2 linked regions of the Xenopus tropicalis genome follow. The protein of the gene in region 2 interacts with the protein of the main gene of each other region in a pairwise test. Links are inferred from orthologs where the notes say so. Each region holds a gene or a part of one and is shown on either strand. Other genes may lie near its edges.

Region 1 (4,070 bases), on a different chromosome or scaffold from region 2:
TTATGCCATTAAGAAATGTTGCAATCGCCCCATCTGGACTTGCTTAGTAAATGAGCCCTATATTATTTTTGGTTTTACTGTATAATTATAGTGTTATAACTTATTCCACAAAGTGATTACAACAAAATAACATTGCAGTAATTGTGCACTTGTAATACTCTGCATAATGTACTTTACCCCTAACTAAACCTTCAGGGAAATGGCATAGTCCCCCAGCTGTTGTGTAACTACATTTTCATGCATTCTCTGATAATTGTAAGTGCAGCTGTGATGTTTTACAAGGGAAAATGTACAACTTGTTAACAAATATAATGCTCTGTATGCAATATAATCTGAAGCCTAGTAAATTTATACAGTCTGGGAACTTTCTTTCTACAGAAGGTATATAAGCCTGGATAAACATTTCTACAGAAGGTATATATATATATATATATATATATATATATATTTCACACTATATATCACTATATATCTCCCTTTAAAACAGTATCTGCTTTCCTCATTTTTAGACACAACTGATGGCAGAGCATGAGGGGGCGTGGAGAAGGTGGGATATGTGGGATGGAATAGATTTTGTTTGTATGTGTGTGTCATACAAAGCTATGTGACAAATCCGCCTCTGCAGGCAAAAACCTGAATCATCTGTGTCTTGCTTACACTTAACTGTGTCTCTGAGTCACAAGCAATTCAACCAAAGTGTAGTGGATGCAGTTCCCAAAAAAATACAATTCAATGCTTTATTTCACTATTAAAGGTAATCAATAGATTATAGATAAATCAATAGATTCTTGTGAGAAAATAATATTCTCCTTTCAGTACAGATTGAACTATAGGGTAAATATATTTATTGCCAAGAGTAATACTAAATGAAAGATAAAACTAGGGTCTATACAGATGTACTAATTGAATCATATGATATTGTGGTTTTTCTCACTATTTCAGAATATAGAATATTTATTAGTATACATTGCCACACATTTGAATTGCTCAACTATGCTCTTGTACTTTCATACAGAAAGCGAGAGATTGCGAGCGATATCGAGGAGACAAATGTTTTACTAATTGTAGGTAAATCAGAATGGGGTTGCTGGGCACCTTGCTTTTAAATTAAACAATAAAGACCGTTTTTTTTTTAGCAAACTCCGCTGTCCGGTGTGTTGGAGTTCCTTCAACTACTTATGATTTTCCCCTTCGGCTACGGGTTCGGGGCCTTGAGCGCCCGGACCACTTCTGGACTTTGGTAAGTTATTTAAATTTCGCTTCACCTTTTTTGATTCTCTTTAACTGCTTGGGATCGTATACTTTGGAGATAGGCTCGGGGTCTATACACCTGAGCCTCCACATTTTACCGGATACGATTTGTGTTACCATCCCAATACAAATTTTATAATTTATTTATCGCTTTATTTTGGGGTTTATTTTGATTTGAGGTATGTTTTTTGGGGTTGCTGTGAACATATCTTTTGCCTGTTTTCACCTGGTTACGGGTCATCTGAAGTACACACTCTGTCGTGCATGCAAGATTCTGTGTGCAGGCCCCTGGTGTTCCTGGGGGAACAGGACCTTGTAATTGCATACTCATAGGAGAGGAAAAATAGACATGTAGCTAGTGTGGGGTAGTTCAACAGATGTAGGGATTCAACTGGACAGGGACTCAGGAAATTATAAATGTAATCCCTTGCAGCACCCATTATGCAGCCTGAAACACTGATCAATACCTGTAGTATGCAAGTAAACCCCAAGAGAACTCAACATTATGTGTGCCACAGTAGTATATTTTACAATAGGGGAACATTATTTACTATATAATGTGGGGTTAAGTGTCTTATCTACATGACAAAGGGCTCTGGTGCCATATTTTCCAGACTTCTCAACTCATAACTCCTTACAAAATATAACGCAAAATACTAATTGCAAACCACCCAGATCCCTGTACTTAGTAATTAGTAGGATTGGCCTCTTCACACCATATAACTTCTTTTCTGTGCTCTTCCAGGCCTGTTACATCACTGTAAACCCTATACCGATGCAGTTACTCTCCATGGGGTAAATTTGACTATATATCCCAATACTGTCCAATGTGGGAGGGAATCATTTTATTATTGTAGTGCTGTCTAACTTCTTCCTACCACATGTTTGCAGGCCAGACTATTGTATTGTATCACTTGTTGCTCTTTACAGTGCAGTATTTTAGGAGCACTATATAGTATAGTGTGATGGTGATAAGGTCTTTTATTGTACAGTCTGGACAATGCTGTATTGTACAGTGTGGTTGAGATCAGACACTATACTGCACAGCTTGTGGAAAGTTTTGACCCATTTTGTATAGTGTGTGGTGAAAAATATTTTTTTTACAGTGTGGGAAAGATCTCTATGCTGGCCATACAGTTTGTCAGTAACAGAAGTAGACATCAACAGGCCCCACATACAGTCATTGTCTCACTGCCTTTCCCCTGGTAGTTATTTCAGTGCACAATGTTTAGCTTCTGGCCAACACCTGCAGGAGCATTTTAGCCACCACTGCCACCCTGAGGCAGCTGGAGCGGTGCCAACCCCCCCTCACCCCATCCTGATTAACTTTATAGCTTTGTGCAGTAGAACAGACAAAATTCCAATTTAAAAATCTGAACTTCAGCTTGTAAGTAACCAGGAGCAGCCTTTTGCCACCCATTGTAACATGCAGGGTTCTGCCTCATGGCTGGAGCTCCTCTAAACACCTGTGATTCAGAGAAATGCTAGCTAGAGGACTATTTGCATGAACTCCTATATAGTTACATAGGGTTGAAAAAAGACTAGAGTCCATCAAGTTCAACCCATCCAAGTAAGCCCAGCACACCCAACCAACACCTACCAATCTATACACTCACATACATAAACTATATATACAACCACTAATACTAACTGTAGATATTAGTATCGCAATAGCCTTGGATATTCTGATTGTTCAAGAACTCATCCAGGCCCCTCTTAAAGGCATTAACGGAATCTGCCATTACCACATCTCTAGGAAGGGCATTCCACAACCTCACTGCCTTCACCGTGAAAAACCACCTACGCTGCTTCAAATGGAAGCTCCGTTCCTCTAATCTAAAGGAGTGACCTCTGGTGCGTTGATTGTTTTTATGGGAAATAAGAACATCCCCCATCTGCCTATAATCCCCTCTAATGTACTTGTACAGAGTAATCATGTCCCCTCACAAGCGCCACTTTTCCAGAGAAAACAATCCCAACCTCGACAGTCTAACCTCATAGTTTAAATCTTCCATCCCCTTAACCAGTTTAGTTGCACGTCTCTGCACTCTCTCCAGCTCATTAATATCCTTCTTAAGGACTGGAGCCCAAAACTGCACTGCATACTCCCTTACCAGGGACCTATAAAGGGGCAAAATTATGTTCTCATCCCTTGAGTCAATGCCCTTTTTTATACAAGACAGCACTTTATTTGCTTTAGTAGCCACAAAATGGCACTGCCTGGAATTAGACAATTTGTTATCTACAAAAACCCCTAGATCCTTCTCCATTAAGGAAACCCCCAACACACTACCATTCAGTAGATAGTTCGTGTTTATATTACTTCTACCAAAGTGCATAACTTTGCACTTATCAACATTGAACCTCATTTTCCAGTTTGCTGCCCAGTTTTACAATTTTTTCAAATCGCTCTGCAAAGCGGCAGCATCCTGCATGGAACTTATAGTTTTGCACAATTTTGTGTCATCAGCAAAAATAGAAACAGTACTGTCTATGCCCACCTCCAGGTCATTAATAAACAAGTTAAAAAGCAAAGGACCAAGGACTGACCCCTGCGGTACTCCACTAACCACACTTGTCTAATTAGAAAATGTTCCGTTTACCACCACTCTTTGTAATCTGTCCTTCAGCCAGTTCTCTATCCAATTACAAATATTATGTTCTAGGCCAATATTCCTCAATTTGATCATTAACCTTCTGTGAGGTACTGTATCAAACGCTTTAGCAAAGTCCAAGTAGATGACATTAACTGCCATTCCCGCATCGAGGTTCCTGCTCACCTCCTCATAAAAGGCGACTAAATTAGTCTGGCAAGATCT
Region 2 (4,089 bases):
ACAGAGAGATACCATAAAACTATGGCACATAGGGATTCCCCTGTACTAAGCACAATTCAGCATGAACAGCCCCCTAAGTTTGCTCATAGCCTGTACAGAGAGATACCATAAAACTATGGCACATAGGGATTCCCCTGTACTAAGCACAATTCAGCACCTTGCTATTTCCCTTGCATGTCAGTTTGACAGGATGATGGGAGTTGTAGTTCAATAACAAGGGGAATTAATATGGTTCCTATAGATGATAAAATAGAAGGTGTGCTTAGATTCTCAATACAGGACTCAGGATATAAATTTATTTTATTATATGAGTTCATCCAAGTTTAGAACTTGGAGTGGAACCTTGCACCTGGTATGTAAAGGGGAAGTAAACCACAAAATATTTTATTTTGTGCACAGAAATCGAAGGCCTGCGGTAGCTTCACAGGTGAAAAACACCAGCAGTCAAAATGCCCTGGTCCACTAGTCACCACAGCTAATGCTACTCAAACACAAGCAGTATATTTCCCCCTAGCAATCAGGAAGCGGTGTGAATGACAGATTTGAAGATAACCTGTAAAATAAGACTTTAAACTAGTTAGGGGTTGCTAGGGTCACTGACCAAGCAACCAGGCAATTGTCTGAATAAAAGACTGGCATCCTGGGCTCCTCAGTGGCCATAGCTTCATAGGACAGAACCAGAACAGAAAAGCAAAGTGACTAAGGAAAACAATATTCCCCACCTGATTACCTCTTTTGGTTCATGGAGGGCTCCTGGGTCCAGCACCCGTTGCTCGGGTTGTACGAGTGCACGGCACTGATCTCTTGCCCATTGTCCCTCCTACCTCCAGCCACAAACAGGTAGTTATGGAGTGTGGTAGCCCCATAGCCTTGCACCCTCAGCATACTCTGTGGGACCTCTCCGGTCATGACTTGCCAACCGCCTCCCCCTTCCAGGTACCTTAGTAGCACCCAGTTGTCAGGGCCCTGTTGGGACAGGACCATAAGGGCTGGGGTTCCTCTCAGCCTCTCTTCCAGGACACGAGTTCTGAGGGACCTTGGGCTCTGCTGGAAGTCTTCCCTCCTCAACATAGAAAGGTAATGAGCAGCCATGAAATGTAGAGCTGCCGAAGCCAAATCCCACTGGCCATGCAACTGCGCCACCTCCAGGATATCCAGACACGTGTCCAGGGACATGGAGGACTGCAGGAGAGACAGAAGACCTTGGACCTGTAGGTAGGATGCGGCTTCCACCACAGCCTGTAAAGGGCCCGATGACTCCAGGCCGCATGTTGATTCATCCTCCAGTGAGCAACGTTCTGGATCTTCCAAGGAAACAACCTGGAAACCAAACTCGGAACCCCCCTGAGCTTCTAGAAGGGAACCCCCAGTGATGTGGCGGAGAACCCCTTCCAGGCCCTCAGGGGTCAGCCCATGCAGAGTCACTGGTTCCCCATGACTTTCCCTCATGCCCGACCGGAACAGTGACTGGAAGAAACCACTCTGAGCCACCAGCTGTTCCCTAGGTACAGAGTAACACCTAGAACCCAACAGTATCTGAACTGTTTCTACAGAGGACATCACTTATACATGCATGATGCCTTCAAGAACCCAGAAATGGAACCAGAAAAGGGATCTACCAACATAAAAACATCACACTATTTGTGCACCGCATAGCTACAAGAACCTTGGGCACCTAATCAGGGCATCAAACTCTCATATCTGCAAGAACCTTGGGCACCTAATCAGGGCATCAAACACCCATACCTACAAGAACCTTGGGCACCTAATCAGGGCATCAAACCCTCATATCTACAAGAACCTTGGGCACCTAATCAGGGCATCAAGCACCCATATCTACAAGATCCTTGGGCACCTAATCAGGGCATCAAACTCTCATATCTACAAGAACCTTGGGCACCTAATCAGGGCATCAAGCACCCATATCTACAAGATCCTTGGGCACCTAATCAGGGCATCAAACCCTTGTTTCTACAAGAACCTTGGGCACCTAATCAGGGCATCAAACACCCATACCTACAAGATCCTTGGGCACCTAATCAGGGCATCAAACACCCATACCTACAAGAACCTTGGGCACCTAATCAGGGCATCAAACCCTTGTTTCTACAAGAACCTTGGGCACCTAATCAGGGCATCAAACTCTCATATCTACAAGAACCTTGGGCACCTAATCAGGGCATCAAACACCCATACCTACAAGAACCTTGGGCACCTAATCAGGGCATCAAACACCCATACCTACAAGAACCTTGGGCACCCAATCAGGGCATCAAACACCCATACCTACAAGAACCTTGGGCACCCAATCAGGGCATCAAACACCCATACCTACAAGAACTTTGGGCACCTAATCAGGGCATCAAACACCCATACCTACAAGAACCTTGGGCACCAAGCACCCACTCTGGGCATAAGAATATCAGGCAGAGAACCAATAAAGGAAATGCCCAATGTTCCTTACACCCCCCACCCATGACAATTAAGGAATCTCTTGGAAAAATACTCCAAAAATAACAGCCCAGAAGCAACACCCTCCAATCAGGAACAGTTGCCCAACTAGAGAATGGACCTGGATTCCCCACCCATCAGCCGGTCCCGTTTCAGCTCAGCAAACTGAGTAACAAGAAAGTCCAGAAAGAGAGAGAATCCCATCTGTGCAGCTTGTCCATTCAGCTCATTGTGCCAGCAGCTCTAGCCCCATTGGCTGCCCCCACTTGCCCCCCTTGCCCAGTCTTTCCGTTTACCCAACATGGAGAGAACGCCCCAATACAAACTGACCATCCAGGCATTTCACTTCCTGAATGTGCAGAAGCTTGTAAAAAACCCAGTCCCCTCCACCTGCGTGCCAGGGACCACGCCCACTTATACGCAAACACGTACTTGACACGCCTCCTGCCCCTCTTATAACCACAAGCCGCGCAAAGACACGCCCCCATTGCCAGACGCACCTCCTCATGGAAGCGTCTGCTTCATAGACAGGCCCCTCCCCTTCCCATATTGTGTTTTCCCCCCCATGCCCCATAAACACTGGCCTTATATGTGCAGCTGGGATTCTCTATGGGAGGGCTATATCCCTGCCAGACGCCATCCCCATGGGAACAGGCAACCCTAGCAGATATTACATAGTAGTTGGAGTTCAGCCTTTATCGCCCAACTGAGAGACTTTAGCTGTAAAAGCCGTAAAGAGATACTGACACCAGAAATTAAACCCTTTATTGCAACTGTCATGACACTGTTTGTACATTTATTTATTTGCCCATAGAAGTGTTTGCCCAATGCATTTATATTACCTATCTGGTCTCCATGTCCCTCTATGAGGCGGCGGCGGCCATATTTGTGCAGCCATTATTGGTTAGCATTAGGAGCTATAACTGACCGGCTGGGAGGGGACACTCAGGTTTAGGAACGTCAAATAGAAATGACTTACATTAACAGCCCTCCCTACCTGGGAGGATGTTGAGGAGAATGCTGGGAAGGAAGCTGGAGGATGCTGGGGGGGAACTGGAGGATGCTGGGGGGAGCTGGAGGATGCTGGGGGGGAACTGGAGGATGCTGGGGGGAGCTGGAGGATGCTGGGAGGGAACTGGAGGATGCTGGGGGGAGCTGGAGGATGCTGGGGGGGAGCTGGAGGATGCTGGGGGGAGCTGCAGGATGCTGGGGGGGGAACTGGAGGATGCTGGGGGGAGCTGCAGGATGCTGGGGAGTGGAGCTGGAGGATGCTGGGGGGGAACTGGAGAATGCTGGGGGGGAGCTGGAGGATGCTGGGGGGGAGCTGGAGGATGCTGGGGGGGAGCTGGAGGATGCTGGGGGGGGAGCTGCAGGATGCTGGGGAGTGGAGCTGGAGGATGCTGGGGGGAGCTGAAGGATGCTGGGGGGGAGCTGGAGGATGCTGGGGGGAGCTGCAGGATGCTGGGGAGTGGAGCTGGAGGATGCTGGGGGGAGCTGGAGGATGCTGGGGGGAGCTGGAGGATGCTGAGGGGAGCTGCAGGATGCTGGGGAGTGGAGCTGGAGGATGCTGGGGGGGAGCTGGAGGATGCTGGGGGGAGCTGCAGGATGCTGGGGAGTGGAGCTGGAGGATGCTGGGTG

Evidence for each region.
Region 1: the proteins of klhl42 (region 2) and sertad1 interact in binary tests that used the Homo sapiens proteins (3 or more experiments, as listed by UniProt). The two-hybrid records come from large-scale screens. The link is inferred for Xenopus tropicalis from reciprocal best matches to the Homo sapiens genes KLHL42 and SERTAD1.

The regions. Positions count from the first base shown.
Region 1 is NC_030684.2:78,228,604-78,232,673, forward strand, and holds the start of sertad1 (SERTA domain-containing protein 1), read left to right. Parts: upstream 1-1,218; 5' UTR 1,219-1,240; intron 1,241-4,070. UniProt on the Homo sapiens protein: Acts at E2F-responsive promoters as coregulator to integrate signals provided by PHD- and/or bromodomain-containing transcription factors. Stimulates E2F1/TFDP1 transcriptional activity.
Region 2 is NC_030679.2:10,512,384-10,516,472, reverse strand, and holds the start of klhl42 (kelch-like protein 42), read right to left. Parts: upstream 2,863-4,089; 5' UTR 2,377-2,862; exon of another isoform or gene 2,351-2,376; intron 2,332-2,350; 5' UTR 2,081-2,331; exon of another isoform or gene 1,901-2,080; 5' UTR 1,561-1,900; coding exon 731-1,560; intron 1-730. UniProt on the Homo sapiens protein: Substrate-specific adapter of a BCR (BTB-CUL3-RBX1) E3 ubiquitin-protein ligase complex required for mitotic progression and cytokinesis. The BCR(KLHL42) E3 ubiquitin ligase complex mediates the ubiquitination and subsequent degradation of KATNA1.